4 linked regions of the Drosophila melanogaster genome follow. The protein of the gene in region 4 interacts with the protein of the main gene of each other region in a pairwise test. Each region holds a gene or a part of one and is shown on either strand. Other genes may lie near its edges.

Region 1 (8,187 bases), on a different chromosome or scaffold from region 4:
ACGACGAAGTGACCGCCGAGCTGCCCACCACTGCCGCGGCACAGGCTTTGGTTCCAGGCAAGCGCCTGTCTGCCAACCAGCAACACGATCATCGCAATCTGTACAAGAGTGTGGATCTCAAGGCCGGATTCGCGCACGAGCTGCTCATCCGGAACGAGGATCCCAAGAGTGTGCTCACCTGGGACTTCGATGTGATGCGCAACGATCTGCACTTTACGCTCTACCGGGTCACCCAGGAGCTTCCGGAAAAGAATGGTGAGTTAATAATGCACTTACAAAAGGTTTTCATGTTGCTTTTTGTTTTTCTTTTGTTCTGAGAACTGGTTTTGGTTTCAAAGGTGCGAATATCACGATGTTGTTGCCTCATTAGAAGTTGTTTTTGTTTACTTAGCACTTTTATAAAAACACAAAGCCACGATAAAAAGCGAAAAATGCGGAAAGTGGAAACTCTTACACCCTTTCGAAAAGAAAAGAAAATTTGTTGTCAGGCAACTTAAAAACAAATTAATAACGTTTGGCTTAAATTGAATAGTTTACTATTACAATTAAGTATTAAAACGTATGTTAATTTGTGTATATATTTATTTATATAAATTTCCAAGGTATCTGTTGCTAGGGCTCTATTAAATTGATAACGCGCGCATTTTGGTTCCGGTTTATTGATAGGGATTGCTTTTCATATGTGTTTTGATAATGTAGTAAAATACGAAAAAGTTGAACCTTATTTTATAAAGCTTTTTGTACTTTGAACCTTTTAATTAATTAACTTGATTAGCTTGACAGCTTACATATAATTAAATGCCCTTCGCCCACAGATTCCGCCGTCTCGTACTTTGATCTGCAGGACTTCGTCGAGGGCGTCAATTATTTCCGTGAGGAGCCAACGCTGATTTGCCGGCACAAGGAGAGCGTCCAGGGGTCGCACGTGATGCATCACAACGACAGCTATCTTATGCACTGGTTTAGTCCATCGGGTGCCCAGTTAAACGTCTTCTACGAGGTGCTCAGCTCGGCCAACTACAAGGGTTCGATGACCAGCCTGCAGTCGGCATTCTCATCGAACTCGTCGGCGGCCAGCTCGGTGCAGAGTCGATGATATGAGAAAGCCGGGGATGGCGGAACGAACGGCGCCGAATGGAGATCCCCGGCATTGGAGGAGCCCATAGCGGCGGACATTCTCACGGGCACCCTGATGGAGAAGAGCCTGAATCTATTTGAAACGCCGGACGTATTCTTTTAAGACCGAAAGTGGTAATATCTTGTGTTTTAGTTGTCTTTAGTTGTTTAGCAGAATGTTAGTTTGATTTTAAATTGTATTTAGCTCAAATAGGCCATTTATTTCCTTTTAAATTTATTATATTCATTCAATATATACAAGCATTCATATTATTGATAATCTTAAGAAAATTAGAAATATCAGCGGTTTAAATGAGCAACACCAAAATATCACGCAACGTTTTATTTGAATCGTCAATTTGAATTTTTCGTAAGCAGCTCTATAAATGAAGTTTTAATGCGTACATATATATGTAAAAGCGACGTAATTTTTATAGCTTTTTCTAATGGAACATTTTTTAGCAACAATTAAGGAACTTATTGCGATTGCGCAGCCACTGAAACGAAAATAGAAAAAATTGAAATTGTAATCAATAACTACGTGTTACCTAATTAGTTTAATAAACAAATTGCCGAAATGGCTTATTGCAAGGATTTTAGCCAGAACTTATACAAAAGAGTGAAATGTAAGATTTGAACTCGAAATACACACGTAGGTTATAGCTAGACGTCAGATTATAATTATAAATGTAAAATTGTATTTTAAACATTCGAATGCAGAACGTTTTTGATTGCACACTAATTACCCCGTCATTTGTACGCCCTTAATTGCTAATATCAATCAATCTCCAAAGTGTTTTTAAAATCAAAAAAGGCAACTTCAGTGTGTTTTTTTGGTTATTATTTATTGTATTAAAAACGAATTACTATGCGGATGTTTACAATTTAGTTTTATAAATAATCTGACGTGTATTGTAAGAATAAACTGACAAGCCAATAACGAAGGAAAAATGAGTGCATGTTAACTAAGTGTGTAAGTTGTATTAAGAACGTAATCAAATAAATGCTATTAGATCAATTACATGTACATATTCGCATTTTATTGTGGGCTCTTGAAAAAAATAAACTATTCAACAGTTTTAATTAAAATCAAATTTAGAATCCATGAAAATTGTATGGTATGGATATGGATGCTCTTTTCATATTTTAAATGTGGATTGTAATGTTTTTATATATATTGTAATGTTTTTATATAACAAAATAGATAAAATTAGACCAGCAAATGACTCGTTTCTGATAGAAAGAATATTCAAATTACGCGCCAGACCTACTATTCCAGCCCTGGCTACCTTGAGAAGGTCTGGCAACGCCCCCGCTAAAACATTTTGTGAAAACATTGAATTGTGATATTAAAGAAAATTAAACATGAAATTTATGTATATTATGTATAATAATTAAATAATTATATTATATAATAATTAACAGAATTTAAAAAACTTCACATTTTGTATTTATATAACACCGTTCTTTCTCATGGCTTAAGTCACGTCAAACTATGTTATCTTCAATGGTGAAAAACTGGGTTAAAATTGTTTGTTTATCGCGCTTGTTGTTGGCTGATGGCTGATAGGAAATTAAAGCAATGTTTGTGGCCGCTAAAAGATTCGAATTTCGCAGGCAGCACCCACCACCACCTGCACGGGCCGCCCTAATCCCGCATTCTCCTAGGGCCCGTATCTTATCCGCGGCGGATGCAAACCACTAAAAGGCTACTTGGCCATGAAGTGCGGATAAGCGGATTCCTTCTTATCGCCGCTGGCCATTGGACATTGGCTATTTTACCAATAATAGTTACGAGTGCCTGGACTTTCAAGCATTTCGCGCCTAGCATTCGAAGCAGCCAGACCAGTCGCTAGAATCGAACTCCAACATGGTTGCATTGAGCACAAAGTAAGTACCCCTGCCCCACAGCCCCATCGCCTCGACTGACGACCACAACGTCCACCAATCCAACATTCCAACAAGAGCCAGTTCTCTGGGCAATGGCGAGCGGAGTAGGCGATGGCGATGGTGGTGACCAAAACGGTCTGAACTCATTACTAACCGCACTGGGCGACTATTACAGCGGCCGCCGGGAGGAGAAGGCTGCAGCCAACATCTACGATGACAAACGGATCTTTCCCGACTTCCGTAGCGGACCTTTGGAAGAGTACCGTGAGCGGGCTAGCTTCTGCTACAAGCGCATGAACGTGGTGCTCGAGGGCGAGGATCACATACGGCTGAAGGTTCGTTACCATTTCCAGTTTGTTACATATGTACATGGTCAGCGGGGTCGAAGTGCAGACTGCCTCGATAGCTTTTGTCGGAGCTGCAGGCCGCCAACCGCCCGGTCTAATCGTCGCCCGTTTCTTATCTGCACACTTGAGTAATTCGTTTACATGTCACTCCGTCTTTAGCACAAGGTGTGGCAATGGATGGAACAGCACCCCGACTACCAGCGGGAGCCAGGATCCGATTTGGAACGCACCCGCGAAATGGCCAACAAGCGGCAGCATCTTCTGTGGGAGCAACAGTTCTACGGCGTCAACGAGGTAGGATGCGTTGCGTACTCCTGAAAGTGTGGCTGCCTAAATCTCCTGTCTTTCTTTCAGTATCTTGGAACCCCACATCTTCTGCTTGCTTTCGGACAGGCCATCTTTAGCTACGATTTCAGCACTTCGGTCAAGTTCGGCCTTTCAACTGGCATGTTCCCCAGCACGCTGGTCTCCAACGGATCTGGCCGCCTGGGCAAGTACGTGGCCAAGATCGCGGACAACCGCATTTTGGGCGCCTACGCTCTCACTGAGATTTCTCACGGCACCAACGCGCTCGGCATGCGCACCCGTGCCACCTACGATGTGAAAAGGCAGGAGTTTATCATCCACACGCCAGACTTCGAGGCGGCCAAGTGTTGGGTCGGTAATCTAGGCAAGACTTGCACGCACGCAATCGTCTACGCCCAGCTGTACGTGCCGGATGACAAGCACCAGGGCCTGCAGGCCTTCCTTGTTCCCATTCGGGACGAGCGTACATTGCTTCCATTCCCCGGCGTAACCGTCGGCGATATGGGCGAAAAGATCGGTCTCAATGGCATTGATAACGGGCAAGTACTTTCTTCTATCAGTTGATAAAACTAATCAACAGCAACAGAAATAATTTCGATTTGTTTGGCATTGCAGATTTGTGATGTTCAACCAGTATCGTATCCCTAAGGCAAATCTGCTGTCCAAGACCGGTGACATCGATGCGCAGGGAAACTACACCAGTAAAATTAAGGACGAGCGTAAGCGCCTTGGCGCCTCCTTGGGTGCCCTCTCCGTGGGTCGCGTCAATATCACTGCTATCACGTATGTGGCCTTGAGCAAGGCTGTGACAATTGCCACTCGCTATGCGGCCAGCAGACGCCAGTTTGGCCCTACCAACAGCCCGGCGGAGTGGCCCGTGATCGAGTATCAGTCACAGCAATACCGACTAATTCCCCACTTGGCCACCACAATCGCCTTGCGGGTGGCCACACTCTGGATAGGCAAAGAGAACGTGGATTTGACCATGAAGGGCTTCACTGGCGAGGACACGTCGCAAGCGGGCATGGAGATCCATGCGATCTCATCGGCACTCAAACCAGTTGCCACTTGGGCTGCCAGGGATGGCATCCAGGTATGAATGCTTTATATATGTATATAACCACTTTTACTTATCGGTTATATTGTTTTAATCTCAGGAATGCCGCGAGGCCTGTGGCGGTCATGGCTATCTTAAATCTTCTGGCTTGGGCGAACTTCGCAACGACAACGATGCCAACTGCACCTATGAGGGCGAGAACAACACGCTCATCCAGCAAGCGTCCAATTGGTTGATCAGTCTGCAACGCAACAATGCCGACTTCGTGGCAGTTTCCCCATTGGAGACAGTCTCCTTCCTGAAGGATATGGACACAATTCTGCAAAGCAAGGGTCAGGAGCGAACTCCTGCCGAAGTTTTGGATCCGCTCAGTGAGTATTTCTTAGTTATCCAAATATAAGATAGGAATAACGCAATTTTATTGCACTTCTATAGATCTACTTAATGCCCTCAACTGGCTTACCGTCTGGCAACTGGATACGACGGTGAAACGAGTTGAGGAACAGCAGCGCGAAGGAAAGGATGCCTTTGAGACGAGGAACAACATCCAGGTCTTTGCCGCCCAGAAGCTCTCCATTATCTACGGCGAGGTGAGATGCCAACCCTCTAAACCCCAACTAAATAGTAAAATAACCAAGTTTAATATTCTTTTAGCGCACCATCTACTACGTGTTTTATAAGTTTGTAATTGGTCTGCCCGACTCTGCTGAGAAGAAGGTACTGCAGCAGGTGCTCTCCTTCTATGGCGCCCACTTGGTCACAAAGTACTCCGCTGCTTTCTACCGCGGTGGTTACTTCCGCGAAAACTCTAACCAACTGGAGCTGTACGAACAGGGCATTCTGGCTCTGCTTCCCCTGCTGAAGAACGAAGCCATTGCTCTGGTGGATGCCATTGCTCCCACAGACTTTATTCTAAACTCTCCTCTGGGCATGAGCGATGGAAACGTAAGTGGTCTACCATAAGCAACTGCTACTCTTACTAAAGATTCTATCCTTTCGCAGGTCTACCAGCATCTGCAGCGCACGCTTGTCTCCACTCCAGGTGTCTACGAGCGTCCTCATTGGTGGCGTGATGTTACCTACAAGGATTACCTTAAGCGCGCCAAATTGTAGACTCACTGTAAAATCCCAAATAAGAAGACTTTACTCGTTGAGTTTTTGTAAGAAACTGATTTTATTTGGAAATATCTTCGGTTTAAATAGGTGACATGAGAATCGCATCTTAAAGTAAATGGCCTACGCAGAGGCCTAAGTAAATAGTCCCCGCCTTATCGAGGTCCCACGCTCGGGCACATCTGCCTATCTTGAGCGGCGAGGACCTTATCTGTGGTCTCCCACTAAGGGACTATTTTAGGAGGCGGGGAACGATCTCAAGTGACTGACTCATGTAGTGTGCACTTAAATTACATGTTTTTGAGCAATGCACCCATGTCGCCTTAGATAACAAAATCCTAAATATAATTTATCGCTCTCGATTCATTTACATAAGATATGAACGGAGCCCAAAATTGTAAGTCTTTAAATATATTCGTGTTCATGTGTGAACATTCTGCCAAAGGGCCAGCAAGCTGAGATGTACATTAGTATATTAGTTGCATTTATAACAGTAGTGGACTGTATTTATTTGATATATGTTCATTTATTTTGCAACTAAGATTTCAATGGGCCTAGTTTTTCTGGCTTTTAATTTTATTGGATTACAATTATGGTTTATATTATTTTTAATTCAACAATTTGTACTCAATTAACTTATTTTAAACATTTTGCTTTTTCTATGTAGAAGTACATTTTCTATTAAACAACGATATAGTGGACTGTATATTTTTATTTGTTATATTATTTTATTGTTTATTTACTATTGATATTTATAGTACTGGCAACGGACCTGCAAAGGTTATTGCTTGCATTCTTTGTTGCACAGCACATTTCCGTATGAAATATATTATTAATACTATCATTAGTATTAAAGCAATAATTAATCCAGCATGTCCGGAAATATGATGGAAATGTAAATCTTTCAATTTTTGATGGTTCTCTTTCATAAATTTAATTTCATTATTCAATCGTTCAAATTCCTCAGTATGATTTAATATTGATAGTTTCAGCGGATCCCAAATAATCTTCGGCGCTTCACTAATTTCTCCTATATAAGGTGTTGATAATAATTCTTCACTTTCGGACTGAATGTTATGGTGGGCAACTAGAATTTTATCGTCGGTTCTTGCCGTACAATATGGCGCAATGCTTAAAACTCCTTGCTGAGGCAAATCAAACAATTCAATTTGAGAGCCAGTACATTGCAGACGGACTTTTGAATTCGCAGGAACCTTAAACAACCAACTACTTTTCTTTTCTAACTCTACCCAGTAACTTTTAGAGTCGACTACTGTTTTATAGATGCAGTTCGCCGCTTTATCTGGCTTTAGAGGCTGAATCTCACATGCATTATCATTCGCTGAATTCCAGGGCCAACTTCCTTTGCATATTCTCTTATTTAGTTGCCATTTCTGACATTGATTTAATGTGGCTTCCGTCATTATGTGATAGGAATCTATCTCAAAATTATAAATTAAATATTCGGACGTTGTATGCACCATTATTATCCGATCTTCATTTCGAATTGGCACCGGAATAAGCCTGAACAATTTGGATGGATGCCTGCTAAACAGAGGCACTTTTGCACTAATGATCAATTTATCGTCGATGAATAAACCCCTGGCTGTTAACAGTGTATACACTTCCTTAAGTTCCGTACCTGACCGTTTTCCTGGAATTACTAGGTTCTCCGAAAGACTCTGCTGAATTTTGGCAATTTCTTTTTTAAGCTGATTTGGCCTGAGAATATTTGTATTTAGCCTACCGTGATTAATATCAATCAACAGGCTTATAATGCCTGCTTGAATTTTTTCGCCTTCTTCAATCAATGAGTGTAGCTGTTTCGTAATCATAAAGAATTTTATTGATTCCTTATAAACATAATAATTTTCTTTAAGAACTTCTGTCATGTTCTCAATTCTTATTTGCATACTTCTAAAATTGGAGTTAACATCTTCTGTTGTTCTCTTTAATAGATTAGAAGTTGAATCAACCACAGATGTTTGTTTTTGAATTAGTTTATCAAGGTTGTTCTGGTTATCTAACAAATTCTTCATATTTTCTTCTAATTGCTCTCTATCATCTTCATCCATTATACCAAATAAAATATGATACAAGGAACCCATAAATTCGAAAGGAGCACGCTTGCTTCTAGATCTAGACTGTATCATAAACAATTTATTGTTTTCTTCAAGTTCCGATAACTGACTTTGCATATTATCTAAGACTAGACTACATTGCTCTTCAAAGCTATGAAGTCTTTCGCAAACTTTCCTCATACTTTGTATAAGCGCATTACCCTTTGTTAACATTTTAAAATATGGATCCATTTTATAATAGATAACCAAATTCCAAGAAGTACTCACAATCTCAACA
Region 2 (9,498 bases), on a different chromosome or scaffold from region 4:
TGTTTCGATAGCATGTTTTCTTTTTCACTTCCACGAATTTCTTTCACTTCCTTTCGTGTTTCGAAAGGCTAATTAACATTCCTGGAACATAAAACGATTGGAGAAACAAACTAGTTTGCACTTAAATATCGATATAATTGCTCAATTATTTGTCACTAGTCATATAATAGGATTATGATTATTTTGCGGTGTGTAATATTCTATATAATCACTCTATATTCTATTCTATATTAACACTTTGCATATCGTTACGCACTTTAAATTGCCGACGAAAACCGTTGCAGCTCGTTTGATATTTGAGCGTCTATACTATATAGCCAATTTGTAAGTCGAACTTTTTATACCGTTTCGCGCCAATTTCGAATCGTTGAGCAGCGGCGCGTTCGAGTGACTCTGATCAACTGAGCGGCGATCAAATCGCAGCGGCCTGAAAAGCTGGAGCGTCTGATATGGCAGCGTGTGGGGAGCGTGTGTGAGGGAGAGCAGATCGCTGAGAAAAAAAAAACAAAGAGAATGATGGGGAGAGAGCGGTCGGCGTTTTTGCGTTTATTTAACCAAAGTTGTTTAATTTGAGTCCGATTTTCAGGCAGTCCAACTTGTTACCGATTTGCATTTTAATAAGTGATTTCTCAAAAGATCTTAAGAGTGCAACTCAAAAGCCTTGTTCCAAAAAACTTCTAAATCGTTTTAGAAAATATAATTTTTTAACATATAGTGTTTACATATTACATAATATGAACGCGTTCTGTTGTATTTTCTATCCTTTTTGTAATCTAGCGTTAACCAATAAAATGCAATGATTTAAATTTTCCTTAAAAAAAACTGTACATTTTAATAACTTATGATAGCGGTACAACTTTTTCTCAATCGAAACTGGTTTAAACGAAAAGCGAGTGATCCCAAGAAACCGAAAGAATTCCGATAACTGCATCTGGCGAGCTGCATATTTCGGTTTTTCCGAGCGTCATTAAGTCGCGGAACCTGTTCTCGATTTCGGGTTTTTTTTTATAAATCTTCCAGATATTAGTCAAATTTATAACGATACCTCCAGCTACGCCCCGTGGCTCGAGAATGGTCTCTCCAACTTCTCCCACCTGACGATGACTGTTTGTTTTTGTTTAGTTGTTTAGTCGTCCGCACCGACATCGACACAGACAAATCGGCGTATACGTATTATATATGTACATATGTATGTATATAAATATATATATTTTTTATTTATTCAACCAATAAACAACACAAATCTCCGGCTCTCTCCCGTCTACCAAAACACTTACAGACATTGCAGTGTGGGCAAAAATGTGAACATTTTAAATTGCGCTACCATTTCCGAGAATTGTTTTGTTTTGCGGCCCGCAATCGGTTTTTGGCTATTTCACTTTGTGGTACAGGCCAGTTATATATATATATATGTATACATATGTACATGTGTACATAGCTCTTTTTTTTCTCTTCCAATTCCAGCTTGACCCATTGTACTTGTGTTGAAAAATATTTAATGTAATTATAGGCGAACGGCGGTTCGGCGATCTCTGATAGTCTGAAAAGGGCGCCGGGAAACTGTTGATGGATAAAACGTAAAGAGCAACAAATTGGCGAAACGAATTCCGAACACGCTTACAGAAAAGAAAAATAAAAATATAATTATAAGTGGAAAGCGCAACGAGCTTTAATCGAAATAGTTGTAGACTATTTATAATATTTTTTCTCTCAGTGTTCCTGACTTACTGATAAGCTTGTTGAGTGGCCTTTAAAATGTATTATTTTATTGCAGTTAAAGTTCTACACCGAAACATCTAATGATTTATGCCTTTTGTAGCCAGGCAATCTATTCTTTGTTGACCCATTATTTTATTGCGAAAAATGCCAGTAATTATTGTAAATCATTTCCAATGAAGCAGATAATAATTTCTTTACAACGGTTGCGAAATCAATCACCATAGCTATTTTAATATACCTACCTCCACATATTTTCTTACCTTAATTATTATTAATTATTTTTACTTTTTTGGTTCCCTCTTCGCATATGTGTTTTTTTCTTCTTCTTTTTGGTTTTTACACGTGCCGTACTCTCGTCATTGTTTTGGCCAAAAATTCGTTCCGCGTTGTAGGTATAATTTTTTTTTTAAGGCGCCGTGAGATTAATTAGTCAATGAATGTATGTACGTCACTCTTTTGGGCAGGTTGGACTTTAGGTCATTGATGAAAAGAGGGTTAAAAGGCACACCCACTAGTTTATTAGCTTTCCATGTCGTCATAGTTTCAGCTCATCATTTGATGCGCAAGTTAAAAACATAAACATTTCGAAGGAGTTTCTTTTTTTTTTTACCAATATAAATCATCGAACGTACTTCTCTGTTGAGGGCTTTGAACTGAAGGTCGGTGATGATAGCAGATCTTATTGGCAAATATCCATTTCATTTTTAATATATTTCTCTGCTATTACCAGTCTTCCTGTAAATAGGATTGTAATGACTCCATATGATAACAAAAATAAAACATCATTATTATCATTGTACATATATTCACGTTGAAAGGCAGATAAATGACAAAGGCAGCCACAGCGATCACAACATCGTCTATATAAGTGAAGTGAAGTGAAGCTACCGATAATGATGTTGTACTGGCGCACAAAGGCTCTCATATATTTACACACACACACAGACACACACAAGATCGATGAGTGTTAAAGTCTATGAGGGAATAAAAGGGGTACTGGTATTGGCACTGATAGAGGTTGACTGCGGCTTGGGAATTTCCAGCTTTTTGAGCGACAGTAAAACTAAACAGAGCTCCAGAGAGGAAGAGAGACACTATATATATATATATTACTATAAATAAACCGCTTGCTCCCAACCGGTTTACTTTGGTTTCGAAGCCAGCATAACCGATTAAAAGAAAGCTCCATTCGCCTTAGTATATGTATTAAAATACAGTTTGTGCTTGGTTACACTTAGGTGGTAGAAAAGTCTGTAGCTATTGCTTGGCGTCCCACGATTCCGTTTTCATGCCCAATTCGATGCCGCAGGCCGGTGCTTCGTCCATTCCGCAGCCGTAGAAATGCGGCCAGTTCCGGATTTCTTGATACACATATGCACCCGGGCTTCTGGTCACCTTAGTCTGGAAAATATTCAATTAAATTATTATGTCACCAGATATGCCAGATATATAGTAAGTAATTATACCTGATTTTGCGCCACTAGTTTGTAGTCCACATCAATATTTCGATTGGCCACTGCATGGGCCAGCAGAAATTGGACACCTTCCAGCTGTTTGGGACCGGGCTTAAACCGGCCATAGTCGCCCATAAAGGTAATGGCCAATGTCTGGTTCGCATACGTGTTGGCCCAGTCCCAGCCGCGGCCAACGTAGATGTTACCCTCCTCCGAAACCTGGTCGAAACAAATTCGGAAATTTGACAATTTGCGTAAGCGGAAAGCGAAATGCCCAAAATGGCACGTGAACGTGATGGGAACACAAATGCACGCGCCGGGATTTCTTTTCCCTACTACACTCGAAGAAATTTTGATTTTTAAGGCTTAAAAAGTATTATACAAGGCTTATTTTAGGAACTATGTTTCCCATTGAGGCGCGTAAAAGAGTGCAGAACAAGAACAGGCTTACATAAAAATTGGATTGGATATCCGGCAGACCCTTCTCAGCAATGGCTGAATCCTGAATGGTGCGCATCTTGATGGAGCACTTGTAGATGTTATCGCAGGGCAGAGACTGCACTCCAATGTGGGTGATTAGGACGTAGGGAATGGGTCGCTTCAGGGGAATGGTCAGACCATGAGAGTTCTTCGACGCTCCCCACTGCTCTCTGTCGACGACGAGATGGCCGTTTCCTAGATTCGGAACTGTAGAATTGGTGAATTGGCTATATGGATTATACAAGTGCCATCCACTTACACGTTTGGTGGTCGTAGTTGTTGCCAAAATAGATGGCTTTATTACTGGGCAACTCGGGCTTGGGTCGATTGAGTTCCACGTAGAGCACAATCAATCCGGTGGCCAGGACCAACAGGATCAGCGTGATCAGCAGGATGGTGTTCCGAGTGACCCGCCTAGATGGCGACTTATCACGACTTCGATTGGCGTTGCCATTACCATTGGCATTGTTGCTGTTGATTCCTTAATTAGCGAAAGTCAATCAATTAGCATATGATTCACAAAAGCCAAGAAATTGTATCGTTTCAATGGATATATTGACTTAAAATGTTTTTGAAACATTTTACGGTTTTGCATATCAAAAGCATTTATATTTCTATAACAACAAACAAGTCGGAAACTTAAAATCATAATCTAGAAAATTTAAATAATTTTAAAACGTTTTTAAGCTCAATTATCTTTCAGGCCTCTAAATATTTTTTTCGGTGTCGGAAAACACGGATCTAGTTAAGCCTGTGAAAGCGCTGAGTAAATCTAATTTATTAGTAGATATTAGATTTTATGTATGTACTTGATGAATCCCGGGAGTGGGCTAAACTGGGTTCGGGTGTACGTCTTCTGCGCGCCGTGCGTTCCGAGTGAACTTTTAGTAACAGTTTCATGGCACTTCGATCCACTAAGCTTATCACACCTCTTCGTTATTGGACACAAAACACGGCATTATAAGCCTATATATCTATTATGAGTAATTGACCACTGAGTCATCGGTAACAAATATCATAGCAAATACTGGGAACAGCGGTGGTCTGCAAATTGATTGTTTTATAATGTGGTACAATGGGTTTGACCGATAATCGGACGGCGGAGTGCCACTGGTACCGCCACCGCACCTGAACCCGTCGCACAAACAACTGAAATGCGGCGCAGCTGTCGATGGAACAGAAAGAGAAACAACAGCCATACAAATTGCAAAAGCGCTGGAAGTCAGCCATCTCGCTCTACCCTTGCGTTGACATGTTTTGTGTTTGCTTGCGTGAAGAAAGGCCAGGGGTTGAGTTGACGAGGGGGGGGGGGGTGGAAGTGGTTGGAAGTGGGGTTTTGAGGGGGCGGCAAGGGTGCGTCATGATGATATCGCCGGCCTTTTGTTGCTGTTTTGGCATATCACATTTTTTACACACTCACGCTTTGCACTCTTACTTCTCGTATTTCTCTCTCCCTTTCGCTCTTCCGTACTACGTGACGTATGCGCAATATGCGCCGTGCATCGCAAGTGGCTAAAGTTTGATCCACAAACTAGCTCTCACCACCACCGAGTGCAACTGAGCGTTGAGTGCTCTCTTGTTGCTCGAGATCCCGACTTTTTATGTGTACGTTTATTCCGGGAATCCCGCCCCACGCTATTTGCATTTCAATTACATTGGTTTTTCACTCATTTGCTCTGTTCTTTTCGCTAAATTATTGAACCCATAGCCAAAGAATAGTGATCGATCGAGTTGTGGAACTAATTATCCATAATGAATTATACATATTTAATTTTTCTTTTCATTTAAGCTGACTAATTGCAAGTGCTAACATTTTGAACAAGATCTTCAGAACATGCAATTGTCGTATAGTTGAATTTGTCAAGTGAAATCGTAATAAAACACTTTATTAGTAATTAGTTTGATTCGTGATCTGAATCAAAACTTGCTGATATACCCAAATCGAAATTAACCACGATCTGGCAACTGAACATAATAAATTTAAAACAACCGGTTTCGAAAATAAATATATTATGTTAAAATAATTTAAATTTACCAAAAAAAAATACCTTTTTATTTGGGTAAAGTTCAGCACCCTGCACTATTTAGCTTAATATTTAAAAACATTGGGAAAAAAGTGAATAGTATTTGCAAAAAAAATATAATTATTCTCGTATATTATTGTTATATTGTTATACAGTAGAAATATGTTAATTTTATTAATTAATTGTTGCTTTAATTTTCCCGTTTACAACTATAATTTTCCATTCAGGATCGGGGACTCACCTGCAGCCGTTTGCATGGCGTGTGCCTCCATATAATCCATATAGTATATGGATACCGGTCCCTGGTATTGGGTCATGGGACCGATTACCACGTCGGTGGAGTGGTTGAGATTTATAACGCTGGACGGCTGGATAGCTGGATTTGTGAAGATATTCTGCGGTAACGGAAGGCCGGAGGATGAGGTCGATGAGCCGGCGGACGTGAGATTGTGCAACCTTTGGGCGGGACTCGCTCTTTGACGACCCTGAAGTGTCCACAGCGAATTATCGGTTGTGGGGCTATTGTTTTCCTCGAACATTGCCGATTCGTTTTGGATTGCTGAAAACATCATATGTTATGTGTCGTTATATTACGGGTTTTTCATAAAATTAGTTATTTATAAAGCCACTTATCTCCTGGTTTTTATTTGTTTTAAGAATGTATCAACGTAATTGCAGATAATAACTTTTATTTGCTCCTTAAAAGGCCATATGAAAAGGGCAAAAACCTTACCTTGTTTATGTTTTAAAAAGGGTTGCTTGAATATGACGATCTCAGATGATCAAATCTCAGAAAATCCGTGACTCTTTCCGGAGTACGTAGCTGGCGCGCCAGTCGAACGACAACTGCTCAAAGTTGCATTTCAGCCGGTGGGGATGAAACTGAAAAGTAAACAAAATATCGAATCCTCTCTCTTGGCTCGCTAACTCGGCACTATAGTGATTGCGATTCCATTAGCACTCACTCTCCGGTTTTTTTTATATTGTCATGGCATGAAAATCATTTCAGCTGGGAAATTTTTAAAGTTTATCTTGCATTTTTTACAATTTAATTGCAGGCCTATGACTGGCAGTCATTTGCATAAAGTGTCTGAATTTAGTGGAATAGTACTCAAAGCTAATCTGGAAAATAAATTAAATTATTAATAGTTATGTTCTAATGGGAAAATTTGAGCAATATAAAGCATTTATTTTATATTTTAAACTGAACTCCAAGTGTCGCCCTCTTGGGGATGTTAGCATAAGTAAGAGCCCTCAAAGCTTTTTTCAAGTTCAATGACTAGCCGAACAGGTGGCGTCTTAATTACGCATACGCACCGTTGAACCTCAATATATTCGAATATAAAAAAAACATTCAATGTTAAAATGTTTTAATAAATATAATCTAAAAGTGGAAATATGTTTTAAATTAGTTTGGCTTGCTGTACAAAACGTTTAATTTTCGTGCAATTTTTTTAAATACGTGTTCTTTTTAAGCCACTTTTTCTTTGTAATCCTTATCAAGCGCATCAATTTAATGTGCTCAACGCTCAACCAACAGCCACACGAGATGTCAGCCACTCGCTGCACGCTGTGCAAGCTTCACTTTCGCCACACGACGGCAACTGCAGCACTTGACTTTGCCATGGCTCTTGGTCCATGTGAACCGCCACGGCCCCTCATCACGATCCATCTCACCCATCCACCAGACTATGTCAACTTGGTCTTTTTGGCTTTCGGGCGGCAAGCGGTTTCATGCCTCACGGTAATACACTGAGAGAATTTGGCATAGAATTAGCTTACCTTAAAATGTGATCTATATTTATAATTTATTTAATTATTATAAACCATTTGTTTTCTATACCCTTCGCAACCCATTGACATCTAGGAATCTAAGACTTTTTGGGATTTTATCTTATGAATGCTATATTAATTCAAATTTCCGGTCAGGGTGGGGGGGATTTTCTCGCTGTGGCTTGGAGCCCGGTGCCTGGCTATTAACACGCTGCATGGCACGCAGCAAAAACAAAGCGCATACTTTGACGTCTGCCCTCCTAATGACGACCACGAGAATAACGACGACATGGCAGCGGTAGCAGCTTCCCAAGGGGCCACGACTTTATTCATGTTCAGTTGGCATTAGTCGACACCCCTCGCACCCCTTTGCCATACACCCTATTCCCCCAGCTTGCCCCCATTTTATTTTTTTTCGAGCTAGTCCCCAACTTTTGTTTTATTTTACTTTCTTTTATTCACCCAGCTGTCTGCGCGGGTGTGTGAGTCTAGCAGCCATTGTGCCACCAAACGCAGTAAATGGTTAAGGGTGGAGTGAAGTGAAGTGGGCTGGGTTTGGGGTAAAGCGGCAAACCGGGCGCAAAGACGCAGGTGAAAACCCCAAAGTGCCCTAGGACAGTGCGAAGTGCTGAGTCAAGTGTCAACTGCAAATGACATTTGCATTTCGCTGGCAGGGATCAAGGGGCTGATGACGGGGGGAGGGAGGCTCTGGAACCGCTCCGGTGGCTAGTGGCTGGTGGCTGGTGGTCGGTGGCAACGCGTCAACTACGACTGACATTTGTTTTAGTTTTTCTTCCGCTTTGCGCAAGCCATTTGGCAGTTCGCTGTGTTTCCTGGCCAACAAGAGCAATGGGCAGCGGCGCCCTGAAATATGCAACGAAAAGCGCAGCACAAAAAATGGCTCTGTGGAAATTTAAACTGTCATGGGTGCGCTAATACGTTTGGAGGCCCTTGCCACAGCTTCATCAGAGCCGATTCTGCAAACTTAAGAAAGATACGAGTTAAAGATTTCAGATACATTTATCAAATATCTTATCATCATATCATTGTTTTCCCTTAATTGTAGAATCCCCAACATGGCTGATCTTAATGCTGAACTGATTGGCTTTCGGTTTATGAACACTCAACAATCCAATTGATTAGTATGCGTCCGGAATCCATCAGCATCAGTAATATAATCGACCCAGACAGTATGCAAATTAGATATAGCCAAGGCAATGCACCGCATCTGCGGTAGCTGGCCATGTTAAATTGTGGTTATAAACTACATTAGAGTGCCATATAGTATCTATGTGCATCCATCTCGGCTTGAGTAGATGTGCATAAGTAGAATGCGATGCGTTTCATGCTTGAAATTGCTAACAATTTATCTGGCTTCCAAAAAAGCTGAGTTCAATCTCTTTATATCATTCGACAAATAGAAAATCGGATGACTTAGCAGTTTTGTAAAGAAAAGATGTAATGTATCGTACATCAAATTCAATATGCTGTATATAGGACTTAGAAAACATATTTCATATAATATGCCCTTAAACTGATTCTTCTTAGAAAATGCTTCCACAAAAAGCCCCTTTAAACATTTAAAACTGATATCGAAAAGTACATTCAGGTTTTGTTCGAGTGTGTTATGGCAAATGAAGTCACTCCACTTAACTGGCATTCCCCAAAATAAGTACAACAAATGGCGTTTCGAAACTATTTTTGACTTTTTGGCAACCGCCGGCAGCGGCAATCGCTCGATATTTCTGCCCTTTGTGTTTATCGTGGAACGTTGAATGTGGAGTATTGGAGTATATGCGTTTTCGATCTCCTATGGCTGTCAGAGTAAAAACAAACAGAATCAGACATCTCAACCAGAAAACCCAACCCATTCAAAAACACCCCACCATCCATCCGGAAAAATAAGAGAAAAAATTGAAAATCCCCATCACTCCCACACAATAAAATCGAAACTTTTGCATTGTACATGTAAATTGCCATTGCCTATCCCAATGATGCTCCCTGTTGTGGCCATTGTTGGATTTGCTGGGCGTTATGCAAAAGCAAAA
Region 3 (7,271 bases), on a different chromosome or scaffold from region 4:
CTTCGCTCGCCAGCCCATTAAAATTGGGAGAATTTCTGTACATGCATAATTTATAAAAACCCGTTTGACTAAATAGTTGCCACCGAAACGAAGTTATTCAAGCGAAATAAGTTTGAGGCAACTTCGGCCAACAGAAGCGGCAAAAAGGTATCCAAAAATAAACGGAGACAAAAACAAAAAAAAACACACACAAATACAAAAAAAGGGATCAATAGGTTTTGTGGCAAGATGGGGGTGCCTCAGATTTTGGGATGACATCAATGACCGACCGGTAATCTTTCGATAGAAAATTGAATAATATTTGCCCGAAGCGCAGATATACATATATTATGCTATTATCTAAACTTGATCATCTCCTCGCCGTGCCCGGAAATATATAAATGTATATATCACCTGTCCCATTCGAAAAACCCATCGAAGTAACAAATTGTATGTATGGCCCATCGATTAATACAAGTCCCGTGAATGAAATGATGGACGCATTGGTCGGTATGGAAATGCTCGATTATTGGGGACCGGCGACATTACGTACCATCCGAAAATTGGAGCACATTAATCAAACCAATTAATAGCAATCGGAAAAAGGTCAAACCGTGGGCTCGTGACGCAGCAACAGGAGCGAAATTAGTGGGCTGCAGGTTGCTCCTTGGGAATCGTGTGTACGGGTATACGGGTGTACGGGTGTAACTTCAGCATTAACCCTACTAATTTTCAAAATGGAAATGCCTTCATTTGGAGGTCGGATTCGAAGCGTGGGCAGGTGGCAGGGGGCGGGGGGCAGGGCCCAGGCGAAAATGATTAACGAACCAGCTTGCGACAGACAGCATATAATAATTTATTGATACCACGCACACACACTCACGCATTCTCGCACACTGGCGCACACAAAGGACCCTCGCAGGACCTCCCTAGTTCACTAATACTGTGGCCCAATCGCCCAGCAGGTGACTCCGTGGTCAAGGCTCTGTTACCGTACAAGTTCTACGCGGACCCAACAGCTAGTTGGCTGGCTTCCTGTTGTCCACACTGCGAGAAATTCTTGTTGAGTTCGGTACCAAAAATGTGGGAAATATATAAAATAGTATTCTGCGGCAGCAGGGATGATCTTCTCCAACTGATTTGTATTGAACAACATGGCGTATACGTAACATTTTTTTAAGTGTTTTATATCAACATGGATTATCATCTCTTAATGCTTTGCGATATTTATGTTCTATTTTAAATCCACAGGAAGGCTCCGCATTCGCAAATTTGTACTGAACAACGTGGCGTATACGTAATATTTATGTTTCATTAGTAGATAGATGTTTTATATCAATGGATAAACTTTTCCCACTCATTTGTGACATTTCTGCTCTATACTAAGGTAATTTTAATCTCAACATGGATGAACTTCTTCCACTGCTTTGTTCTAAACAACGTGGCGTATACGTAACATGTATGTTGGTGTGTCTTGTCACATGAGGGACGTCACACACACACACACGTGTAGTTGGAAAATCGGTGACCTACAAAACATTTAATCGTTGCCAACGGCCAAAAAGTTTTCGGTTACTTTCGGCCGGTGGCTTCCTTCCCACATTTTGTGGTGACCATCTTCTACGGGGTCGGCTTTCGGGAATCCGGAATTTCGGGCGCCGAGCTGAACGACACGCACGTGTTCTTCGTCCAAGGACTCGCGGACCGTGGAACTCTGAGGGCATCTGAACCCGCCGGCCAAAGAACCCAGCCCACATTCGTCCACCTCCCATCAACAGATAGTGGTAGTACAACGAAAAATCACCAAGTAAACGCTTGTTGGGGGTTTTGAGTTTAGCTTTGCGATAAACAGTGTTTAATTGTAGTTGTTGTTGTAGTTTTCTTTTGTCAATTTTTTTTTTTTTTTTTTTTTTGATTTTTTTACATATCTTATACACAACATTTAGTCGAGAGATGAACTTAAGTGTTAGGCTTGAATTGAACGTAGAGTTTAGGATATAGTACAAACTAGTTTAAGATGATGCGAACAATCCCAATCGTAGAGCTGTTCGAACCTCGAAAGTATGTCATTTCGAATGGAAGGAGGAATGGAAGGAGGGGTATAGATGAGTTCTTTGGTTGAGTGGTCCGTTGCCGGTGGTTTCAAGTATGAGTATAAGACACAATTCATTGCATTCTGTGGATGATAGAGATCGATCGGTTTGGATCGTTTGGAACAAAGTGTACTCTATATATATGCGATAGGTATCAATAAATTGAGTAAACTGCTTCGTTTTTGGCACGCCTCAAACGCCCTCACAGACTCACAGACAGACCGTTTATTATAAAGCTGAACATGTTTCAAGGGAAGTGAAGGTACACACACACACACACACACTCATTACGGAAAATCGGCTATACATATTGTATCATATCTACAATTGTATATATATAGTACTCATTATGTGGCTCAATCTAAACATCGACAACCATTTTCTTGTGAATATCGGTATTGCCCACCACCGAGCAGAATTCATCGAACGATATCTTGCCATCCTCGTCCTTGTCCGCAAAGCAAATGGTCTTGTCCACGATCTGCTGCAGCTGTGTGTCCTTCAGATTGTTGCCCACCATCATCTTGAGCACCTGGAAGAGTTCCCCGTTCGAGATGTAGCCATCATTGTCCATATCATAGATGCGGAAGGCGAATCGCAGCTTGGACAGCTTATCGCCGCGCACGCTAAACTGCGACACTCCCTGGATAAACTCCTTGAAGTCCACCTCCCCGTTTCCATCCGCATCGAAGATATCGATAACCCGCTGCACCAGCGGATTCTGCTGCAATTCCGGCAGCGACATGAACTCATCTATGCTCAGCGCACCCGAGTTGTCCAGATCCAGCTTGCGGAATCGCTTGCCCAGCCTACGGATCTCGTCCGCATCGAAGTTGGAACACATGTCCATGGGCAGGGAGGTCTCGTTACCCATGCTGGCCTTTGGTTACTTAGTTCTCTGGTCTAGATCTGCGAATGGAACGCAAGCGTTAGAAGGCAGGGCATTCTGCTCTACGGAGAAAAAGATGATTCCAAATGAATTTCGATAATAAAAAAAAATATATCATCAGAGAATTGAGGAACATTTGAGTTACCAATGAGAAAAATTAGAAGGATATTCGGTATGTGCAAAAACTGATGCATACTCCCAGGCTGCCCAATGTTCCACTTCTCACTGAATAGCTTCGAAATCATTTGGATTGCACTTTTTCTCAGCGTTTTCAGCACGACTTTCTTACCCAAAATTTTTGTTGTTAATAACTCAATTTTTCAACGACTGGCACGCTCTAAAAAAAAAAAGGGGGGGTGAAGTGCAAGTTAGCAGCATACTTTTAATTATGGCTCAATCGTATCGATTTTTCCAAATTCCACAACTTTTCACCACTCGTTTTCGCTTCAGCAAGGTTGGAGTGGAATCTCTGCAGTGGCACAAATCCGGATGGAACTGCGTTGGCCAGGATGCTTGGGTGAATCGCATTGCGAAAACGCAAGTGGTAGCCATAGATATTTACCATAAATAAACAATAGTTGCGCTGGATTGTTAAATTCCCAAAAAAAAAGCTCTCTACTCGCTCGACAGCAAATACACGACTGCAGGCGAGTGAGAGAGTTTTCACCGTTAGCTCTCGCCAACGAGTGGGAGAGCGCGGAGAGCGCAGCTGTCAAAAGCGGACAGCTGTTGCTTTTCCACCTGTTTTTTTTTTTGTTCTTTTCGGGGGCTGCAAATTGGTTTTCCACTTGTGCACTTTCGCTATCTTTTTAGTCTTTTTAATGCATAGTTTTGGGCGTAAACGGGTTTTCTTCGCTTAACCATAGCATGCCTATGGGTGGAAAGTCCTTGTAGTACCGTGCTATGCGTTAGTACATTTTTTGTGAATTTCTGCTAGAGATGGACCATCGCATTAGCCCAGAGGTGGTTTATTTGATAGTTTTTTTTAAATGAACATGCGATAGATCTATTATAATATCAATATTTATTCCTTGGGCTCTTTTTTCAAAATGGTCCAAACTAATCACTTATTTTGAATTTGTCGAATTTTTGATAACGAGCATATTCGATTAACAAAGTACAAAAATATGATACTTGCACATTACAAGCAATTTAAGTAATAAAGTCGTATACAAAATATGAGATGAGGTTAGAAATGGCACCTAATCGATTTGTTTCTTCTTTAGCTCCAGATAATCCTCTTCATCGGTACTAACTTCGTATATATCTTGCGATTTCGTCTTTACTGTAGTCCTTAGTTTGGCTTTCTTCGTTTTGTTTTCTAAAAGCAAACAATAAAATATCTAAAAAAAAACAGGGCAGAACAACAGAGAGTTTACCCTCAGCCACGCGCTGCAGTTCATCTTCCGTATCAATGCCCGATAAGGCATCTGGATTCATTTCCACATCATTCTGATCCGCTAGAGCTGTTAGCTTGCTATCCTCTAGCATTGCCACATCATCCTTGCTGGAATCGCGCCGTGGCCTCGTCGCCTCATCGCAAAGCTCCTCATCGCTCTCCGGCTGGCCAATGTCATTGGTATCCAGGGCGTAACGTCGCCATGGCAGGTACTTCTTCAGCTCATAACATTTCTCGATCCAACTGCGTGTCACAATCTTGCCCTTGCCCTTCACTTGATTGTATTTCGGTGTGTTTTTGAATGCGCATCTGTTTGGGTTTCATTTTAAGAATTAGCGGGCGCATACTAGATCAATCTGGACTTCACTTACATCAGATGGGTACATCCTGATCCCCAATCAGCCTTATACTTGGCTCCCAAGGCGACCGCTTTCGAACGCAAGTCTGCACGATCGGGATTCTGAAAGCAGAAGGGATGGGTTTAAATCGAGTTGTGATGCAATCAAAAGAATTTCCTTGCCTGTATGCCACTGATGACCAGGACCACACCCTTGAGTAACTGATTAAGGGGACGGTATTGAATCGCTGTGTCCACGATCTTTTGCTTTTTGGCGGGCGTTACTGCGACTGCGGTGGGAGATGAATGTCGCTTTTGCGCAGTTGGGCGCGAACTTTCCTTGGAATTCGAGGTGTCCGAAGATCTGTGATCATGCTTAGATTTCTCCTTCCTCCTGGACTTCTCCTCCTTCGAATGCGATCTTTCCTCTTTTCGTAATTGCTCTTTCTCTTCTTTGGCTGTGGATTTTTCTCTGGAGGACGAATTGTGCTCCTTTGCCGGTGGTTTGTCTTCTTTGCTGATTGACTTATCCAAGGAGTGCCTGCTTGACTTTTTCTTTCTGCTCTCCCTCTCCTTTTCCTGCTCCAATCGCCGTCGATCCTTGTCCGCCTCCAGATGCTTGCTCAGCCGTTGTTTCTTTGCATTGACCTCAGCGTCCTTCACGTCCTCATCATCGTCGCCGAACAAGAGTGAAGCTCGATTGCGATCCAGGGGCTTGGCATCCAATGGCGTCGGAGAAACCGATCGCAGAGCATTGAGAACTGGTGATGGCGACGTCGAGGTTTTGGGCGATGCAGCCAGGCTAGAAACCTTGCCAGCGCTCAGCCTTCGCAGGGCCGTGGAGCCGGCGTCCCGAATGGCCGCTGCTGTGGAGGTCGCACTGATCGCGGGCGACTTGTGCTGCGTCTGCTTCTTCCAGCTGTGAAATCTGTTCACTTGATTGTCCGTTTCCGAGTCCGGCGACTCCTCGCGCAGCTTAAAGGTCCCGAATTGCATAACACCCTGCGGCACTAGGGATTTGACCTTAGGCGCCGCAGCAGCCACTACATGCACCTTGACGAATGAGAGCCCGTATGGCACATGACGATTGAAGGGCTGTGTGCAGACTATCTGAAGCAGCTTCCACTTCTCCGGCAGTGCACTCTCCGCCAGCGAAGTGCTACTGAAACAGCGAACGCGATTTGGATTGCTGGAATTCTTGCTCTCGATGGGCGTCATAAACGAACTGGATAGCAGCAGCTCGCGGAAATCGTCCGCCTGGCAGCCTGTTCGACTGACCAGCACCTCGATGAAGGCGGCATGTTCGTTGCCAATATCGATGCCCGTAATCTGTTGCGGCTCCTCGAACTCCAGCACAACGTATGCGGATTTCTCTCCCGGCGCCTTGGTTCGCCACTTCTTGCCGGCGTTTTCCTTGAGCAGATTCGCCGCTACGTGCACCTGGCCAGCGGGATTGCATAGTTATATAGATGTACATTTGTTATATAGGAGCATTACTCACCGCATCTTCGCTGCTCACTTCGCGTACGGACTTGAAAAGCGCAATTGGCATTTCGCAAGTCGCATGAATTTACACTGAGACGCCGATGATTTTGCGGCAAATTGCTTTGCCGACAGTTGCGCCTGCGATTAAACTGATTGTCGAAAGGGAATTGCGTCGGTTGCATGTGTTGCCATGTGCGCTAGAATGTTTGTTTATTTCTTTTATCTTTTGATGATGGGCGGTGAATTATGCTGATTTTGCTTAACCAACTATTTCAAAAATAAAACCTGTATTGTGTGCACTAATTGCCCATCACTAGCTGTGCTGACAGCCTAGCTGGATATCGCTAAATATGGTCTCTTCGTCACCATATCAAAATACTAGCTAGTTAATTGGTTAACCAACACTGGTCACTTCAATTCAACTTTATTTCATTACGTTTATTAAGAAAATGCTAAAGATCTGTTTTGTTTGCAAAGGTTATTATAATTATATTATATTATATTATTCATTATATTCATTATATTATATTATATTATTCAAGAGATTAAATCGCCAAAGTGGCAGCGCTGGTGAAAAGCAAAAAAAAGGTGAAAGTTTTGAAATGATAAATTTGCACATAGAGATGAGCAGTGATTGCAAACGGTGACAAGAAACAAGATAAATATTTAGTAATATATAAAAATAATAACAAACCGTTAAGAAAAGCTAACGAACAGTATGACTGCGCTAATTTATTATATTTAAAAACAAATGATTGTTTATTAGCAAATACTATCGCATTAAATGGTGACTGGCGATAATAACGGTAACTGCAAGCAGTGAACAACTATCGCCCTTCCCTGATTCCCCTTGTCAATGTCGCTGGCAAATAAATAAATAAATATCAACAAAATACAGAATGAGCGCGGATGCGAGAATCAAGCAGATGGCGCCATCGCTGGACACCACCGAACGGGAGAGGGAGCACCAGAACGTGGATGCCACCAACTCGAACTCGGAGCCCAGTGCCAGCGATTGGGTGAACTTCTCGCAATGGATGCACTGCTTCTGCGTGGTCACCTTCGATCTAAATCTTGGGCAGGCGCTGG
Region 4 (6,512 bases):
TCCCTGGGGAATCCCTGGGATTTAACAAATTTTCAGCCAGTTCAATGCACAGCGTTGAAGTTTAAAGGTCGCCATTACAATTATGGCCAGGTTAGCTTTAAGACACTGTAGTTTGAAAAAAAAAATGGGTTTGGCCACTTTGATAACTCGAGAATGGAACCATCAGTGCGGCATAGCAGTTTGTCTTAGTACTCCAATTTAAATGCACGTTATCCAGAGAACAAACCACAATTTGAAAAAACACCTATACTTCATACATTATTGTTTAAGCTGTATTTTATTAGTGACATTAATTGCAATAATTAGCTGTGCGGTTGCTAATGCTGCTAATTTAAAAACTTTTCATAAATTTAATCAAACGCTCTTGGTTCTGGTTGTGATAAGTGAAACAGCATTTATTGATAAAGTGCGGTTTATTTTAGAACTTATTTAAAAATTGAAAGGTACAAGCTATTTTTAGAATATTTTGGACTTCCTGCCGATGCCAAGCATTAAACACTTATAGGTTGTAAACAAAAAGTTTTGCATATTTAATAAAACCAATTATGTATTTTTTATGTTTTCGTAGCTATAATTAATTTTTTTGTGATGTACTACACAATCGCCGAACATTAAAAACCGTAGACTATCACATACCTCTTACTTATAAAGGCTTTAGACTTCATCTTTGTCGCGGACCTGTTTGGGGCTATCGACAGTTAGTCAAGACCCAATTTAGAGCCGCTAGAAGTTAGAGATATTTGAGTCAGGACTTTACTCCGTTTCGATTTACTCCGTTTTAATCTCAATCTTAATCTCAACTCTCTAGGATCTATTGTTTCTGAGATCCCGACATTTATACGGACGGACAGACAGGCGTACTCGGCTATTGATCCTGATCAAGAATATATATACTTTTTATGGTCGGAAACGCTTCCTTCTGCCTGATACATAATTTTCAACGAATCTAGTATACCTTTTACTCTACGAGTAACGTTTATAAAAATTCTATCCATTTCTCATACCTCGATGTTTTGAAAAAATGCAGTGCTGCCACTACGATCGAAATGCGGTCACACTAGACAGCTGATTTTTTCCAACTGGAAGATTTGCTTTGCACACTGGACAAAGGAAATGTCCCATTTGTCGGCTTATCCAGCATATACGTCAGTCTAAACATGGAGAAAAGCTGCAGTATTGGCAACGGACGGGAGCAATACGGCTGGGGACATGGCGAACAATGCGGCACGCAGTTCCTTGAATGTGTCTACAGGAACGCGTCCATGTACTCTGTTCTGGGCGATCTGATCACATACGTGGTGTTCCTGGGGGCTACGTGCTACGCAATACTTTTCGGCTTCCGACTGTTGCTGTCCTGCGTGCGAATCGTCCTCAAAGTGGTTATCGCCCTCTTCGTCATCCGATTGCTGCTAGCTTTGGGCTCCGTCGACATCACATCTGTTAGCTATTCCGGGTGAAGTGACCAATCTGGCGAATGCCATCGGGACCACGGCCTTTAAACTACATTAACTAAATCAAATATAAATTCCAAATTGAAGAACACTGTAAATTACATTAAACGGTTTGTCATTAATTCCTTTGTTAAAGAGCACTTGCCAACATTAAAGCATAATATTTTATTTAATTAACCCAACAGAACAATTGCTGACTCTTAACATGATCAGCTAACTATCTCAATTGAAATGTTGATTAAACAAAAAATTTAAGCTTTAATTTCGTCATGGTAAGTTGATGGTATTCATTTATCCTCACACCACTCGTTCTCCTTGCGCACCTGTTCCTCCTCCTGTGGCAGAAAGTCATTCTGGATGGCGAAGGTGTCGCGAATAGCCTGCGGCGACTTGCCCTTGATCATATTGGCCACCGTCTTGCAGGTGACGTCGAGCAGACCCTGGATATTCAGGTAGTTTGCCGCGAGGATCAGTTCGAACAGCGTGCCCTGGTCGACTTTGAGAAAGTCAGCGTCCCAGGATGAGATGTCATCAGTGCGCTTCTCCTTGTTCTCAACCTCTTCGGTAACCACAGGATCGTCCTTGTGATAGGTGGCCCAGTGGAGCACTTTCTTCAGGATCAGCGAGTTGACATTCGGCAACGGCAGCACACTGTTGTCGCTCTCATCGCCCAAATCCTCTATTGCAATGCGAATCGTTTCCGAGCACTTGGCGATCTCCTGATCCGTGTCAAAGATCTCCTTGTCCGCAGACTCCAGCCGAATGATGGGCATCTCTGCGTAAAAATTTTTATTTTTGCTTATATCTATATTTTCAATTTTATTCGTACACACCTCCTGCTGATTTGGATCCCAAGATTTGATACGAAATCGGTTTGATTTATTTGCAGACGCAGCCAAACAAAATTTTTAGACACAACACGATGTCACTTAGCTGTGGCCTACTGGCTAAAAATAATATTCCCTTGCCTTCAACTTGAACCGGACTGGTGCGGCGGCCGCCTGAGAACAGAGCGTTTGTTAAATAAAGAACTTGGCTGCCAATAATTCCCCGGATTCTTAGAAAACTAGAACGTCGTACGATTTGAAGAGGAAATTTGTTAGTGAAACGGCCGCCAGTGTGCACATACTCGGAATGGCTTTAAAAGATGGCGCCTATTACAGTTAATGGTGTGGAGACACTGTGACAGCTAGCGGTAAACAAAAGCTCAGTTATATTTTTTTATAATGTATATATATATATTTTTTTTAAACATATATATTTTGGCACAATTCAAGCGTGCTGGGCGTTGTATTATTTAAACAGAAACCTACAAAATTCTGCCTTTATAGTTAGTTTTTATCCTGTTTTTATTTAATGAATTTCAAATTTCAAATATTTTTGTAAACAATTTTAAGCTAGGCCAAGGGTTTGTGTCGCGGCTAGTGCAAGCAGTCAACTTGCGGCATTTTTTAGTACATTTCCCTCTGTGCTGGGTTATATATTCGCAGGCTATACTCCACACTGCTTCCAGCGGAATCGTCAAAAAAATAACATTAAAATCGCCGTGTGCATAATTAGAATATTTCCGAATAGTAATCGCCCGTGAAATCGCTAATTAGCGGTCAGCACTTGCGCCAGTTAAAGAAATCGCGGCACCGGCAGTGGGCCAAAAGAACATTTTTTCCGGCTGAAAAAAACAGGCGGCGGCGTCGACACGCGGACCGAACCAAAGGATCCGAAGCCATCCGATCAGATCTAATCCGATCCGGAGAAAATTCCAGGACACTAAGGACTTCCGAAACTACCCCGCACAAGAGATGGACGTGTACGACGTGAGCGATGATCTGATAAAGAAGCTGCAGGACTGGAAACTAATCGGCATCATATCCGGCAAGTTCAACGAGCTGAAGGAGAACCATCGCAAGGTTGACTTCGTGATGCGCGCTCTTATTGACTTCAAGTACATTGAAAAGATATTCCTGAATGTAACGCTTCGAGAGGACAAGTGCAACAAGCGGAGCGTGGAGTTCCGTATGCTGGGCAACGAGCAGTTTTCGCTCAAGAACAGGAATTACTTCCAGGTAATCATTGCCCCCTCAATCGGCAAACTTAAGCTAATCCCTGCGACTCGTTTCAGGCTCTAGAGCTGTACAACAAAAGCATCTGTTATGCCGAACCGAATTCGGAGCACCTGTCCATCGGCTATGCTAATCGGTCGGCGGTACTATTCGAGTGGAAGCGCTATCGGCAATGCCTGGACAATATCAAGCTGGCAAGGCAGGCCAACTATCCGGCGAGACTGAGCCACAAACTAGACAAGCGAGAAAGGGACTGCCAACAGCTACTCGATCAGCAACCGCCGGATGTGGTGCCCTATGAGTTCAAGCTCAGTTTCGAACCGCATGCCCAGGTGCCCTTCATCGCCGACTGTTTGGAGTTGCGCGAAACCGCCGCCGAGGGTCGCTTTGTGGTGACCAATCGGGATTTGGCCGTTGGGGATCTTGTGTCCGTGGAGGAGCCCTTCTGCTCCACACTGCTGACGCCGATGCGATACATTCGGTGTGCCACCTGCAAGCGGGAGAACTATCTGACCCTCATACCCTGCGACAGCTGCTGTTCCACGATGTTCTGCTCCGAGGAGTGCAAGTCGATTGCCATGCAAACCTATCACCGCTACGAGTGCCCCATCATTGACTTTCTGAACCGCATGTTCAACAAGATCCACTGTATCGCACTGCGCACCACACTGGTCGCGCTGAATATCTTTCCCAGCATCGAGGAGCTAATTGACTTCTGTGAGCAGGAGCAGAACCAGGACAAGTGCGCCTTTGACCTCAACTACAACGAGCTGACGCCGGAGGAGCACTACCGGGCCATCCATGGACTGGTGACAAACCAGCACCTGCGCTCCGTCTCCGATCTCTTCCAGCGCTCCGTGGTCTGTGCTGTGCTCAAGCACTTCATAATCGAATACACACCCGTCAAGGAATATTTGGGCGGCGAAGAAGGCGTGAACTTCTTCACGGACCTCCTGTTCCGACATCTGCAGACATCTCCCTCGAATATGCACGGCATCGACCTGGTCGAGCAGGTTAACGAGACCAAGGACGACCAGACGCACTCGTCTGGGGCGTACGCCTTCCTCTCGCTCATAAATCACTCTTGTGCGCCGAATACTGTAAGGATATACGAGGGCACCAAGGCGTACATGTTCGTCCTGCGGCCTATTAAGGCGGGAAATGTGCTCTACGACAATTACGGGTAAGTAGTAACCAAAGCATTCTGACCACACCACTTTAGTTCAAGCTAATAGGGGTCCAAGTCACTGCAGCTCTCTTCAAATACTAAAACTAATAGATATCCAACTTTTTAGTGCTCACTTCGCCATCTGCAGCAAGGAGCAGCGTTTGAAAAGGCTGTCCCTGCAGTACCGCTTCGACTGCAAATGCGAGGGCTGCGAGCTGAACTATCCTATGTTCGGAATGATGCCGCACAAGGCGACGGTGCCATCGGTTACCGATGACACGGAATTGGCACTGAGCTCCTACAACTATGATTTCGCGGTGAGCAACTATCGAAAGTACTGCGACTTCCTCACGCAATACGGTGACGACTATCCGTGCGAGCAGATTAGCTCCGCGGAGGAGTGCCTAAAGATGGCCCTGCATATCATGGCGGACGCAGTGCCGCTCAAGGCGAAGATGTAATCGGATCCTGCCGCTGAACCAACCCACACAACCAACACGGACGAACTTTTCCTTTGCTAACTTTAACTGGAGACAGCGTATTACAAGCGAGACACAAATCAAGGAGAGTAATTGATTATACATACATGTTGTTGCCATAAGTCTGTAGCGCAGGCAGCAGCGCGATGGGGAGGGAGCATGCCCTTAACTTTTATATTTGTAATTGTACATTTTCGACCTTTGATTATGTTTTACCCCGCACCAAGCCCGCACACCACACCCACACAACGCCCAGCACACCCACACAACGCCCAGCACACCCACACAACGCCCAGCACACCCACCACACATTTCACAACAATTCGAAAGTTCAAAATTCTAAAGTTTATTTATTTTTTGATCACAACAATGTCTTCGATGAAAACAAACAAACAAAGGATTATTATGCAACCTACGTCGTTTTTATAATTATTTTACAAAAACCAACTGAAGCAGAAATAAAATATTTTCAAAACGAAGTGACTTTGGCCTCAAGGCATTTTGCTGTACAGGTCCAGCAGGTTCTGGTTCAGCAAGGATCCTCCCCGGGACATGGACGTCGCCACCTTTTCCGAGGACGATGCCGATGTCGTGGGCTGCAGCTGTACAAACTCGCAGCCAGAGGAGCTGGCCGCTGTGTCATTGAAAAGCACATTGCCGAAGGCCTGCTCGAACTGCTGCTGGAACTGGCGGGCGTTGATGGGCTGCAGATCCTCACTTTGCGCCGGATTTATGTTCAGCTGAGCGGCCAGCTGATCCATGCTGTTGGGCTCCCGTTGTTGGCGCTCCCGCTGGTCGGCACTCTTCGCATAGATATTATCGCCGGCTGACTCAACGTATTCCGCGTAGTAATCTTGATCCACGTCCCTGATGAAACTACCGTCCATGGCCTGAAAGCCCATGCGAATCAAAAGCGATATCTTTGTGTTAAAGCACTGCAGCCAGGCCCGATTCGTCTGGTAGATGGACAGCTGCGCATCCTCACCGCTGGCATTCCAAAAGTCCAGCAGCGTGTTTTTCGTGAAGTCAATCAGCATATGCCGTTTGGCATCCGGATACAACCTGTTGATCGCCTCCAAGTGCCGAAATGTAATCTCCAGCAGATGGTGCTGATGGCGGGAAACGAAAAGCTGCCACTTGTAGACCATAGTCATCAGATTCCACAGCTTGGACATCGACTGCTCGTCGAGTCGCATCAAGGAGCAGGTGGCAATGTCGTTCAGCATAAACTTGCAATGCTCGGCGGTCAAAAGCTGCGCACTATTGTGTTTCGATCCGTTTAGGAGCGAGTCTATAAACTTTGGTTCGAGCAGCACAGAAGTCACATCGTGGATAACTGGTGGAAGATATATAT

What was found.
Region 1: the proteins of SkpB (region 4) and Acox3 interact in a two-hybrid assay, tested with the Drosophila melanogaster proteins (one large-scale study listed by BioGRID).
Region 2: the proteins of SkpB (region 4) and PGRP-LA interact in a two-hybrid assay, tested with the Drosophila melanogaster proteins (one large-scale study listed by BioGRID).
Region 3: the proteins of SkpB (region 4) and CanB interact in a two-hybrid assay, tested with the Drosophila melanogaster proteins (one large-scale study listed by BioGRID).

The regions. Positions count from the first base shown.
Region 1 is NT_033779.5:6,442,761-6,450,947, reverse strand, and holds Acox3 (Acyl-CoA oxidase 3), read left to right. Parts: upstream 1-3,085; 5' UTR 3,086-3,098; coding exon 3,099-3,341; intron 3,342-3,512; coding exon 3,513-3,647; intron 3,648-3,707; coding exon 3,708-4,198; intron 4,199-4,274; coding exon 4,275-4,752; intron 4,753-4,816; coding exon 4,817-5,087; intron 5,088-5,151; coding exon 5,152-5,306; intron 5,307-5,370; coding exon 5,371-5,661; intron 5,662-5,718; coding exon 5,719-5,829; 3' UTR 5,830-5,878; downstream 5,879-8,187. Other genes in the region: retm (real-time), read left to right, coding at 1-255, 816-1,096.
Region 2 is NT_037436.4:9,331,348-9,340,845, reverse strand, and holds PGRP-LA (peptidoglycan recognition protein LA), read right to left. Parts: upstream 6,515-9,498; 5' UTR 6,411-6,514; intron 6,237-6,410; 5' UTR 6,217-6,236; coding exon 5,919-6,216; intron 5,158-5,918; exon of another isoform or gene 5,089-5,157; intron 4,793-5,088; exon of another isoform or gene 4,554-4,792; coding exon of another isoform or gene 4,463-4,553; intron 4,135-4,462; coding exon 3,913-4,134; intron 3,861-3,912; coding exon 3,625-3,860; intron 3,393-3,624; coding exon 3,186-3,392; intron 3,121-3,185; coding exon 2,977-3,120; 3' UTR 2,510-2,976; downstream 1-2,509. UniProt on the Drosophila melanogaster protein: Peptidoglycan-recognition protein probably involved in innate immunity by binding to peptidoglycans (PGN) of bacteria and activating the immune response.
Region 3 is NC_004354.4:5,329,080-5,336,350, reverse strand, and holds CanB (calcineurin B), read right to left. Parts: upstream 3,853-7,271; 5' UTR 3,833-3,852; intron 3,610-3,832; exon of another isoform or gene 3,524-3,609; intron 3,299-3,523; 5' UTR 3,251-3,298; intron 2,982-3,250; 5' UTR 2,947-2,981; coding exon 2,434-2,946; 3' UTR 1,902-2,433; downstream 1-1,901. Other genes in the region: XRCC1, read right to left, coding at 4,164-4,282, 4,341-4,669, 4,732-4,820, 4,881-6,137, 6,199-6,249; CG3309 (uncharacterized protein), read left to right, coding at 7,082-7,271. UniProt on the Drosophila melanogaster protein: Calcineurin is a calcium-binding and calmodulin-binding protein found in all cells from yeast to mammals, and a calcium-dependent, calmodulin-stimulated protein phosphatase.
Region 4 is NT_033778.4:12,137,701-12,144,212, forward strand, and holds SkpB (SKP1-related B), read right to left. Parts: upstream 2,530-6,512; 5' UTR 2,285-2,529; intron 2,227-2,284; 5' UTR 2,225-2,226; coding exon 1,739-2,224; 3' UTR 1,595-1,738; downstream 1-1,594. Other genes in the region: CG18343 (uncharacterized protein), read left to right, coding at 1,158-1,457; Smyd4-4 (SET and MYND domain containing, class 4, member 4), read left to right, coding at 3,251-3,514, 3,571-4,694, 4,807-5,140.